Rattus norvegicus: one gene and its partners. The protein of the gene in region 2 interacts with the protein of the main gene of each other region in a biochemical or structural test. Links are inferred from orthologs where the notes say so. Each region holds a gene or a part of one and is shown on either strand. Other genes may lie near its edges. The genes, in order: Tmem178a, Dlg1 and Gucy1a2.

The links.
Region 1: the proteins of Dlg1 (region 2) and Tmem178a interact in a test that uses a peptide from one of them, tested with the Homo sapiens proteins (2 studies listed by IntAct, with this or other methods). The link is inferred for Rattus norvegicus from reciprocal best matches to the Homo sapiens genes DLG1 and TMEM178A.
Region 3: the proteins of Dlg1 (region 2) and Gucy1a2 interact in a test that uses a peptide from one of them, tested with the Homo sapiens proteins (2 studies listed by IntAct, with this or other methods). The link is inferred for Rattus norvegicus from reciprocal best matches to the Homo sapiens genes DLG1 and GUCY1A2.

What each region holds. Positions count from the first base shown.
Region 1 is NC_086024.1:19,767,266-19,770,820, reverse strand, and holds part of Tmem178a (transmembrane protein 178A precursor), read left to right. Parts: intron 1-1,806; coding exon 1,807-1,944; intron 1,945-3,555. UniProt on the Homo sapiens protein: Acts as a negative regulator of osteoclast differentiation in basal and inflammatory conditions by regulating TNFSF11-induced Ca (2+) fluxes, thereby controlling the induction of NFATC1.
Region 2 is NC_086029.1:82,604,997-82,609,345, reverse strand, and holds the start of Dlg1 (disks large homolog 1), read left to right. Parts: upstream 1-1,548; 5' UTR 1,549-1,967; intron 1,968-2,421; 5' UTR 2,422-2,454; coding exon 2,455-2,473; intron 2,474-3,154; coding exon 3,155-3,286; intron 3,287-4,349. UniProt on the Homo sapiens protein: Essential multidomain scaffolding protein required for normal development. Recruits channels, receptors and signaling molecules to discrete plasma membrane domains in polarized cells.
Region 3 is NC_086026.1:8,783,877-8,788,042, forward strand, and holds the start of Gucy1a2 (guanylate cyclase soluble subunit alpha-2), read left to right. Parts: upstream 1-1,335; 5' UTR 1,336-1,755; coding exon 1,756-2,052; intron 2,053-4,166. UniProt on the Homo sapiens protein: Has guanylyl cyclase on binding to the beta-1 subunit. Isoform 2 acts as a negative regulator of guanylyl cyclase activity as it forms non-functional heterodimers with the beta subunits.

The DNA of each region.
Region 1 (3,555 bases), on a different chromosome or scaffold from region 2:
AGGCTCCTGTGGGGTTATGTCTGACCTTTGTGCTTTGTAGTAGTCACGGAAAACAACTTCTGAATCACAGGGCAAGGATGTCACAGGGAATGACTGAGCCATTATTAGTCCCTCTCCTCATATGTGGCCATGCCAAACTATTTATACCCTTGTACCAATAATAATTCAGCATATTTAAATTGTTACTATCCATAACCCCTTATTTTGTGATATATATTCTCTATTCTGGGAGGGGCATTTAGTGTAAGATAAATAGAATTTAAAAGCTCTGAGCTAGAAATGAGAATTCCCTTCTAAGCAGCAGGGAAAGGAAGCTGGGTGGTGGCCTGCTCCTTTGATCCCAGCACTCAGGAGGCAGAAATCTGTGAGTTCGAGGCCAGTTTGTTCATACAGAGAGAGTTTCAGGACAGCCAAGGCTACACAGAAACCCTACCTTGAAAAACAGATAAACAATCACCCCCCACCCCTGCTCCCCAGAAAAACAGGGATGGGGCAAGCTGTTTATGGATAAGATGCTATGGCCAATATTGGAAGCTACTGTAGCCTGTCTTCCCTCCACGTAGTGCCCCTAGGTATTCCACAGCAGTGGGGAAGCCCATCCTCCAAGTCCTGCAGTCTGCTGAGCTTGTGCACTTTGCTCAGACTTGTTACCTGACCTCAGGAGCCGCAGGTGTGTGTGGAGGTGTGTGTGTCTTGTTTTAAGAAGAATGTGTTGTTCCAAACAAAGGCACAAGCAAAAGCAGGAAGGACAGATAGAAACAGCGAAAACGTAAAATAACCAGAAGATGGCCAACCTGAGTTGCCGAAGTGCTGTAAGGGGGAGATACCTTTCCGTATAGATCAGTGGGTCTCAACCGTCTTAACGCTGCGACCCTTTCGTACAGTCCCTCATGTGCTGACCCCAACCATAAAATTATTCTCATGGCTGCTTCACAAATTGTAATTTTGCTACTGTTATGAATCGTTCAGTAACTGTATGACATGCAGGACATCTGCTATGTGACCCCTGTGAAAGGGTCGTTTGACCCCAGAAGGGGTTGTGTCTCATGGCTTGGGAGCAGCCGAGACAGATGCTGTCAGTTATGCCCATGGTGAAGACTTGTCCCATGGGCGTAGCTCCTTCGTCTTCCATCGGTAAATAAGCTCTCCACCGTGAGGCTTGCACTTGAGGGGTGAGAGTGTGTTTATGAGCAGCTAGCCGCCTTGATCATGCACTTCAGGCCGCTTCCTTCCCCGTGGTGGCTGTGCTTGCTCACTTTTTTTTCTTAAATACTTCTCGAGAACAGACAGGAGTAGCTAGAAATGAAGAAAACAACGCTAATTGGCATCCGAGATGCTCAGACAAAAACCTGTTTTTCGTAGAAGCTCGCCTTCTGGGCTCTTTCCTCCAAAGAGGAGAAGCCAGGTTAATGACAGCCACTGTGGTACGCCGACCTCCATCCCGGCTGCTCTTTGAAGGCTGAGGATGTGTTTCTCGAATCTTCCTCGCCCAATTTACTTACTGTGTGTGATGTTTGTTACTCACGTTTTGTCTGGGGTTGTCCCCTCATCTATTCTGTGGGTGTAACCAACTTCTCCACAGACGTAGAGGGGTACAGTGGCAAAGGTTACTCATCCTAGATACCCACAGCTAATGTACCCACAGATACATGGGAGCAGAAGTCCCTAAACCCTTCACCCTGAAGTCCCCGTGCCTGCCTGGATAGCCTCTTCTCACAGTGCATGTGAAATTCTTGGTCCTGTAATTTTCAATTGCTTTTCTGCCCCGCCTCCGATTTTGACAGTCTGTTTCTGTTTTGAGATTAGATCTAAGAAGAATAACAGCTGGATTCCTGGGCATGGCGGTGGCTGTCCTGCTGTGTGGCTGCATCGTGGCCACGGTCAGCTTCTTCTGGGAGGAAAGCCTGACCCAGCACGTGGCTGGACTCCTATTCCTCATGACAGGTAGACTGTACACCGTCAGCTTCCGCTCTGTGGCACAGAATTCGGCTTGGTTCTATCACTAGTAATGTTGGTTTCAGTGGTGGGAAGGAAGCGAGCAGAAGCTCATTCATCTCTGAGAGAAAATAAGGAATTTAAAGGGAACAGTGGACAAAGTGCATTGCCCAACTTTCCCACAGCAGCATTAGTAGGTCAGAGGAAAGTGTCCTGCATCCATTCTCAATTGAGTCAATGCTGGCATTTTCTGCCTTATTGCTTAACGCTATGTCTTGGAGAGAAAGGTCAGTAGCTGAAAGTCCCCTCATACTCTATGTACCAGGGATGGTGTCCTTGGCATTACTGTTGGTGGATTTCCTTTGTCAGGGGCTGATCTTGGTCTTAGAGACATAGAGAAGAGAGCGGACAATGTCCCTGCCCCATTTTTATTGTGGAGAGACATAAGAAGTGATTTGTGATAGCAATACAAACTGGGAAGACGAGCAGGGTACAGTCTGGTTGGGAGATGCTGAGGCAACAGTTTCCGAGTTGAATCATGAGAAGCAGCCAGAAGTTGGGAGAGAACTGTGAGCTGGAGACGCCACCAGCTCAGAACCCCGAGCAGGAGTCAGGCAAGTGTGTTCTGAGGAGGAAGAGAGGTAGGAGACGGGAAGGCATGCCCAGAGTGGGAGCCATGGTCAGGACCAAATCTTTAGAGATCTCTTAATGAAGAGAAGAGAGAGGAGCATGAATGTAAAATATAAGTGGTGGAAACCACTAGAAGATTTAATGGAAGGATAACTTTATTTAAAACAAGAGGGGTGTGGAAACGTGGCTAGCAAGTAAACAAGTTGGTTTAACAAGTAAAGGGTATTTTGGTTTATAAAGGAGTTGGGAGTTGGGTCAATGGCTAGGCAAAGGAGGCTGCAGAGAAGAAATGGCCTCCTCTTCAGCCTCCACAAGAAGTTAAGGAGTGGATAATGAGGGAATGCCAAATTAAGTTTCCCAAAGTACTAGTCCCAGAAGAGCCAACACTACCCCAGATGGCCATTCCGGCCCAAAGAGTCCTGGGGCTTCACAATCAGTAAAAAGTTCTCCCTTTGCCCCTCCCCTTTGTCAGTTATACTGCAAGATTTTGGGTACTAGCCCAATGTACGTCAAAGATGTGTAGGCTTCTCCCCCGACAGCTTTAGTTTTGCCGTTATTTGTTTTTGTAAGATAAGATCTTGCTATGTGGCTCTGGATAACCTGTAACGTCTAAGTAATCCAGGCTGGCTTCCAACTTAGAGCTTTTCCTGCCTCTGCATCCTGAGTGCTGGGGTCTCCCTGTGTACACTGTCATGCCTGGCTGCTTCCCCCAAACTCTGCAGAGGCCCCACGCCAAAAGCCACAGAAGGACTTTCTTTTTTAAGGCCTCCTTTTACTACAGGGGACGGACGCATGAATACTCAAGGATGTTCAGAGTAGGAAACAGTTGTTCTAGTTCAAATACATCACGAGGCCACACAAATCCGGCTCCACCAGTTCTCCTGCCTAGGCAGAGGAGGTGAATTTTGCAGAAGGGAAGGCGTAAGTCGGGTGTCTGTCAGTGACACAGAAGGGCCGACAGTTTTCAGGGTGCTCAGTTCGCCTGTCACT
Region 2 (4,349 bases):
AAACAAAACAACAACAAAAAAACCCCAAACAACTCCCCCATAGTTTACTGATTGATGGATTGATTTTAAATGTGTATAGTGCATGGCGGTGGGGGGGGGGTCCCTCTCGCCTTCGACCATGTGGATCCCAGGAATGGAATTCAGGGCATCCAGCTCGGAGGCAAGAACCAAGTGAACCATCTCCAAGCTGGATCCAAGCGGATCCAGCCTTAAGGTTTGACACATATGGGTCTCTGCCTTTCTGGTTCTGCCTCAGTAACTTCTGACGACTTTGGAAAAATTTTCCTGGGCTATGGAGCAGAGAAGTTCCTATTGCTTAAAAGCCGCTCAGTGAGCTGGGCAGTGACTCGGAGAACTGTCCCCTTCCTCAAGCTGCAGCCTCAACTCTAGAGCAAGGGTCCCTTGGGACTGTTTGCTCTGCTTTGAGGAGCTTGAAATTTAAACTAGCTGTGAGGGCTGGCAGTAGTTCAGTCTCTGAGGTAGCTACAGGTGAGAGGCTTTTTTTGTTTGTCTTTTACCTAAGACAGGGTTTCTTCTCTGTCTAGCCCTGGCTGTCCTGGAACTCACTGTAACCCAGGTTGGCCTGGAACTCAAAAAGATTAGGTTGCCTTAGCATCCTGGGATTAAAGTCCTGTGCTACCACCACCAGGTAGACAGGTGAGTTTCTTAAAGGGTCCTCCATAAGATGGGTAACTCTTGGGAGCATCACTGGGCAGGGACACATTCATGAACGCACAGATGAATGCAGGCATAAATGAATGAAAAATTTCATCATTAAACGGCTCATATTAGGAGTTAACCACTTACACCTAAAAGTCCCCTGAAACCCTCAAACGTTTACCAAACTAATCAGTCTCCGTTTTACATCCGGTCCTTAATGAAACTCCTCAAACCTTTTTGGACAAACGAATACTTTAAAAACCAGTCAAAAGTGGAAGACCCAGATTACCCCTTCCCCTCCGAAGTCCCTTCTTTCTCCGCCCCTTAACGTGGGTGACCGGCGCAGCCTGCACAAACTCCTTTTTCCCTGTTGGGGATCCACCCCGGGCGTGCCAGGTACTCTTCCAGCCTTGAAGTTGGCCAGCACGTGTTCAGTGAGGTTAAGGGGTGTCTGGAGCTTGTTTCTTGGATCTGGCGCAGGTGAGGTCACTTCTCTGTTTCAGTCTCCATCATCTCGAGTCCAGCGCGCTAGTTCAGAACTGCAGGCCACCCTGGGCTAGGGCGACGGGCAGGCTAGCTGTCCCAAAAACACTTCGGACCACCTGTAGAGCGCGTGCCAACTCCTTTGTCCTTAGAGCCACTTCGACTGGAGCGCCTCTCAGCAAGGCGCTTCCCTCTGGATGCTGAAGGGTCCCTCCTTCCACTACTCCAACCCCCTCCCAGCCCTCCTCCCTTTGCCAACCCCTAGGTAGCAGCGCCCGGAGCCCCGGGCTCCGAGCGAGCCGCCTCCTCACTTCTCATTGGCTGAGGGCGTCGGGAAAGCAGTCACGTGGGCGCGCGGCAGGCCAGCTCCAGGGCCGCCATCTTGGCGGAAAGTTTAGGGGGAGAGCGACTGGGGGCGCGGAAGGAGGCGAGGTTCCGGGGGTGGGGCGGCCCGGAGGCGAGCGGGCGAGCGGGGCCGCGAGCGGCGGCGAGAGGGCAGGCGGCGGCGGCCGAGGCGGAGAGAGCGGCGCGGGGGTGCGGCCGCCGAGAGGAGCTCCTCCCCCGTCCCCTCACCCCCTCAGCTGAGCTCGAGTCGGGGCGGGGCGGGGTACGTGGAGCGGGGCCGGGCGGGGAGCTGCTCCGAGTCTGGCCGGAGCGCACCCGGGGCGCCCGCGTTCGCCGCTCGCGGGAACTTTGCGGCGGAGCCGCAGGTGTGGAGGCCGCGGAGGGGTGCATGAGCGGCGCGAGGGCGGCGCACAGAGCGGCGGCTGTCCGGTCCGGCCCCTGCTGGAGTCGCCGCCGGGAGGAGGCGAGCGAGGAGCCAGGCAAGCGAGAGGAGGGGGCCGGAGCGGGCCGGGGGAGCAACCCGGCGCTTGGCTGGGCGCTGCGCGGCTGGACACGGGCCGGCGGGCGGCAGCAGGTGGGGAGCGTGGCAAGCACGCCGCGGCGGCGGCCCGGCTGCTCCTCTTCAGGTGCTCTTTGCGGAGGGGGAAGCTCTGGAGGAACATTCCGAAGCGGGCTTGGGTCCGATCTTAATCTGTAGGGGGCATAGCGACCCCCGAGAACCGGCTTTCTGCCTTGGCTGACACTGCTGGGGGGGTTGAGGCTCCTGCTTTTCACTTGGGAAAACTTTGAAAGGTGGGCAGTTCCTCCAAGGTTGGAGTTTTTCCTAGTTGAGAGTTTGGGACGGGGGTGGGGGGTTTGGGGGGGAACGAATGGATCCACGGTTCAGTTCTTTGCCTTAGTTCAAGTTTTTCTTCCTGTTTTGTGTTTGTAAAGGTGTGTGTGCCTTCTTCCTGCTTCTGGGAAAAAATGCCGGTCCGGAAGCAAGGTGAGAATTTATTTTGGAACTGTTTTGTGGCTGTCACTGGCTGTAACATACATCAGTGTTGTGGTTACTGTTTTTAAAAGGATTGTGTGACTTTGATGAATCAGCAGGCTCTCGCCTTTATTCCTTACGGTATCTAAGCTCCACATCATTTCAGAGGGTGGAAACACCTAGTTCGCTGCACACACCTTCTCCACATCTGTAGTGATTACTGAAGCAATCAATCAGCCCCCTGCCATGTCTTTTTAAAAACTTCGTTGCTTCAGTATTTCACTTTTCATTCATAGCACCACTATTTTGTGAACAACTGAGAGTAGCTAAGAACCGATGTTTAAAAACTTAAAATTTGGTTATAGGACCAAGTTGGAGATAACTTGTTCTTGTCTATTAGGCATTCTAAAACCAAGTTGTTACCAGTTTAATTAGATGGTCTTTAAGTATTGGAGGCTGTCAGTCCACAGCCACTACTTTCTCCTTCCTCTAGTGTGATATAAAGCCTTTAAAGTATTTTCGTCTTAGCAGGGAATGGAATATGGTTGTAGCGCTGACCCCACTTGACTTGGAGGCTCTGGGGAACTCTTTAGATGTCTTGTAGACGTAGCATGTAGCACTTTCTTGTAAGTATGCATGCAGACACAGACCCTAAATATATACATGAAATTTTCACCGTACTTGTCTTTTCAGATACCCAGAGAGCATTGCATCTGTTGGAAGAATATCGGTCGAAACTAAGCCAAACCGAAGACAGACAGCTCAGGAGTTCCATAGAGCGGGTTATTAGCATATTTCAGAGCAACCTCTTTCAGGCTTTAATAGGTGAGAATTAAAACTGTTTTACTTGTGACCACTGTACTAATGCATGGTGCTTCTCTGTCATGTGAAACTTAGAATGACAATGTGCTTGGCTCTCCGGGGACGGCCATTAACTTGGAACATCTCTACTGTGCTTATGTTTTGCAGTAGGCCACTGTTGCTTCTAAAGGTATTTAATTACCAGAAAAAACTTACTGGTATGGTTATTTCTGTGCCCTCTGAGAATACCGTTTCAAGTTTTAGAGTTACCTATTGAAAGATGGACAAGTTGTAGAAATGTTTTAGGAACATCAATGGTTCCTGAACTATTGTTGGTGTTTCTGTAGTTGACTTGTATTTCTCTGGAATCCTTGAAGATATTTGAAGGGTTCTGCTGTGTTCGAGAGCAGTCATCTCTTTGATATACACCTCTGTTAAATTTGACATTCCTATAGTATGAGTTTTAGACCTGGAGAATGATCTCAGAGGTGATGTCTAATAATTATCTTATTCTACAGATAGCATTGTAACAGTCTTATTCTTACCTACCTGTATCTTAAATATGAGATAGTTCGTTGTTTTAAAGAGTTGGACAAGTAGTCCAAAGTCCTGACTAGTTCCTGACACGGTTAGTGATTAAATATCAGAGAGCCCATTCATCCAGTTTAGGCTGGTTAGTAACTGTAGACTGTGGGCGAGTAAGTGAAGAGTGGGCTTTTAAGACTTTTAAAGACAGCAGGTTCTTTTAAAAATGAAATTTCTGTTTTTCTCACCTGACTACTGAACCAGGTGGTTTATTGCCTCCAGGTTCAATAGTAAGATTAAAAAAAATTAAGTAAGGACTGTCTAACACGTTCAAATAAGACCTATGCTTTCTCTCATTATGTCCATTTTCTCAGTAACTTCCCAGCGGATAGGCCTCACACACGTGTGTGCTGATAGATTGATTACTGGTGTGATTTGAACACTGTTGTCAATGTGTGCCTTGTCAGATAACTTATTGCTCTATTGATGCTCTTTAGCCTTGTACAGGCTTGGTAGACCTTATAACTTTTTAGAGTTTAGTGTTACTACAGACTTAAAGACA
Region 3 (4,166 bases), on a different chromosome or scaffold from region 2:
AATTAAAAGCAAATTGGAGTAGGGAAGCAATAATAACTCTGAGGTTTTCTTTTGTTTTGAAATATGCTCTGTCCATTTAAACTTATCTAACTTACCCAGACTAGCCCTTTGCAAATGAGCATAAAAACACTGTGGCTTTTGTGTCCTTCAAGTTAAAGCCCAAGCCCTTCTGAGATCAGGAGGAGAGGAAGGTGCACAATCGCTTTCACCAGGAAACTAAGCTTGGAACTCCTCCCCTGGGATACTGCAATTTCCTCTTCCTTTTTACCCTCGTCTATTAAAAATTTCAGAACAATCTTTTCTGGAACTAACCAAGGGCTTTGGGGCCACCCCTGCGACTGGTGGCAATGGTTCAAATTGTAAAACGAAGCTGGTGTGCTGAAACTAACACTCAAGAGACCCATAGTGTGGCAAATCTGTTCTTGGTGTATGAATCGCCACTGCCCTTGGTTTTCCCAAATGCATATCTGGAACAAGTTCAGTGGTCTAGGTTCATAGGAACCTCCTGCATGCTCCTTAGGGTCAGGTCAAAGAGAGGAGTCTGTACAGGAATAGATCAGATGCTGTCACCATCTGACAAACATGGTGCAGGGGGTGAGCGGAGCTGTCCAGCACTGGAACTTAGAAAGCTGGAGCTGGGAGATGCTCCTCCAAAAGAGCTCCCACAAATGAAGCAACAAGGAACAGACGCTAGCCTCACTGTCCTCGTGGCCTCACTAGAGGTGGGGAATCATCCTCACAATCTGTCCCGTAGTTTTTTCCTTTGCCTGTGTGTCCGCTGGAGCAGTTGATGTGACCAATCTGAACTTCTAAAATAAACTAGACATTGGACTTTGGACATGGCGTGTGTGTGTGTGTGTGTGTGTGTGTGTGTGTTGAGTGTGTGTATGAGTCTGTTTGTGTCCGTGAGCACGCCTGTGTGTAGGGACCCCAATACTCTAGGTCGGGCTGTCAGTTTTCTTCAGAGAGAGATCACTCCCTCAATTCTATGGCCCTCACCCTAGCGTCAGACATTGGGCGTGCTCACTGCCCTTCTGTTTTTCAGGGGCCAAGGGACATTTGGGCTTAGGAACCTTTAGCCCTATGACAACTACTGTACGCTCCCCCTGGTATCAGGGCACAATGGCTGGGAACCGAAAGAACAGCAGCAAAGTGTCCTAGTTGCTCCCGAAATCTGGCGACAGAAAAGGAAAAGACTTCCAATGAGTATGCTTGGGACACGTGATGCCCGCGGAGGCAGCGCTGGAGGGCGGGGGTATAAAGGGAGGAGGAGGGAGTCGCGCAGCTCCTGGAGGGGGCGGAGGACACGAGCCACGGGCGATCGAGATGCAAGGCGGAGGATCCTTGCTGCATGCACCCTTATCTCCGCAGTCCTTCAGTGGGAGCTTTGTGCACTGGCCGGTGCTGAGGCTGAGCTTGGAGAACAGCAGCTGCAGAGTCAGCGGTGGCGGTACTTGAATCCTCAGCTCATCTCCGGCGCCACTGCGGAGCCTGGGCCGTAAGGAGCCTCGGCAACCCAAGTTCCCGCCATGAGCAGCTGGCTCGGTGGGCTCAGCTGCCCCAGGGACACGCATCTGGGAGAGCGCGAGCGCAACGCCAAGCAGCCCCGAAGCGACTGAAGCTGCCTGCTACAGCATATCCAGCCACGGTCACCACCACCACTGCGTCCCTGCCTCCACCACCACTACCGCCACCATTACCACTACCACCACTGCTGCCGCCGCCGTCTCTGCTGCAGTAGTGTCTCCAAGCAGCATGTCTCGCAGGAAGATTTCATCCGAGTCCTTCAGCTCTCTGGGCTCCGATTACCTGGAGACCAGCCCGGAAGAGGAAGGGGAATGCCCCTTGTCTAAGCTCTGCTGGAATGGCAGCCGGAGCCCGCCAGGGCCACCTGGCTCCAGAGCAGCCGCTATGGCTGCCACCCCAGTCCCCGCTGCCTCTGTCGCTGCGGCAGCTGCTGCAGTCGCCGCCGGGTCCAAGAGAGCCCAACGCCGCCGGAGGGTCAACCTGGACTCACTGGGCGAGAGTATCAGTCTCCTGACGGCGCCCTCGGTGAGCCGGGAAAGGGATGGGGAAAGTTGGATCGAAGCTATCTGGGGAGCTTGGGGAGCTCCCGTCCGCTGGGGGGCGACTCGGCCTCACCCTCTTTGGCCTTGAGTTCCTAGTGGTCCCTAGAGGTCTGGGCTTAGGCAGAAGGGGAACATTGGGAAATAATGAGACCCATTCTTTCCAAGGTCTGCCTGTCCACTTCCAGGCTTAAATCAAACTACACTGTTGTCTTCTTTGATAGCCTCAGGGATCCTTCAGGCCACCTGTTTTTCTATTTTCCTTCTTTCTCTTCTGCTTTCTTCTACTTTAACTCTCTTTTCTTTCCTCTCTTCCGGTCTTCTTTCTTCTCCCTCCTTTCCTCCCTCCTTTCTTTCTTCTATCTTTTCTTCCTCCCAACCCTCCCTTCTTTCTGCTCAAAACTTTCCCAGGGTGTGTTCTGGTTCTGCAACTCCCATTTCCCTTTCCAACATTCCAAAGAGGCCCCAGCTCCCTCCTCTGGAAGCTCTTACTCTTCCTATTTCCCACACTCTCTTGGTCTGATTCGTGACCTTTTAGGGCATCTCTGAATTCCACAGGCTCACAGCAGTCTCTTTTGAATGCTTTTCTCACATTTAAGAAAGCTCTCTTAGATATTTTTCTGAGTTGTTTTTTCTCATACAAAACTGTAATGCTATGTTTACACACACACACACACACACACACACACACACACACACACACACAGAGCACCTTCGTGATGTTTTCTTATTTGTTATAAATTTATTGGCTCAGTTTTCCTTTTAGGGCAAACCTGGTGTCTTTGTAAAAATAAAAGTCACTTGTACCCTTACCTCATCCTGGACTTTCTTATCCTTAGATTCTCCACTGTTTCAGTTTTTTTAAAATGTTTTTATTTCTTCTTTTATGCCTCCGTTATATTAGAATCCACTACTATGTTTATTGAATGAATGCATGCCTTCATGTACTTCCTTCAAACATATGTTGATCTTAGGATATGTAGTATTAGCAGTTTCCCCTGTACACCCTGGTTCTAGTCATTCTTACATACCACTTTTATTCATTCCTCCTCAGACATTTCTCCCACTCCTGCCTGTATGATTTTTCAGGAATGTCAGGCCTCTGTTTTTTACCATTTACTAAGCAGACTTTGGGTTTGTAGAAATCCACTCAATTACAGAGTGTAAAGGAGATTCAATGTCAAATTTGCACCCACTTTTGAACCTCATCCAGGTTTTGAAAGCAAAAACTTTAACTTTCTTTAAGAACTACATTTTCCCCTTCTGCTCTCATTTCTTTGACTTTAACTTTCTCTGAACTTCCCTCAATGTATTTGGACAATGTTCTCTTATTTAGTGTATCCTAGGTTTCCCTTGGAAAGCATACTTGTACTCAGTGTAGAAAAGTCCTGGGGAAAAGCAAGATGTTAAGGATCTATGTTCTGGTCCAGGCAATGCCACAGACATCACTGTGGTATCTGTGTTATTGGAGAAGTGTTTCTTTCAACACTGAAACATATTTTCAGTCTCTTTTCTTTCTGTTGTGTTTTACTCTTTAACACACCATCCTACAGATAATCTAGAAAGATAATTCAGATCAGGTTGGCTGATTTGTTTTCAATCTTCCCTATAAATTTGTCCCACAGAAGATAATCCTGAGACATATATAATGCTACAAATTGTCAAACATAACTGAGTATGAGAGGAATTCAGTAGCTGTGCATATGTAGGTTTGTATCAACCCACAACATAACATTTTTGCAACATATCAATACTTCAGTCAACAGGTTCATATAGCTAACTAAACATAATGATCCATTGGTAAAGAATCCTTGTAACCCAGATTTTTTTCTTTGTGCTTGAGAAGTAAAATATAGAGGTTTCTAAAGTGTCTTTGATAATGATTTTGCATAGAATATTCTCAAATACTCACTTGAGGCTTAGGGAAAATAAAGTGATAACTGATGTATCTACTGTGAGAATGAGAGACAAGAAATAATTTCTGGTGGTTTCTTTTGTAATTTGGAGTTTAGTGACTGATGTGAAAAACATGTGCCCAGATAATGCTTTTCAGAACAAGAAATTTGAAAGAAATTGTGATATTAAAAAGTTCAGAAGGTC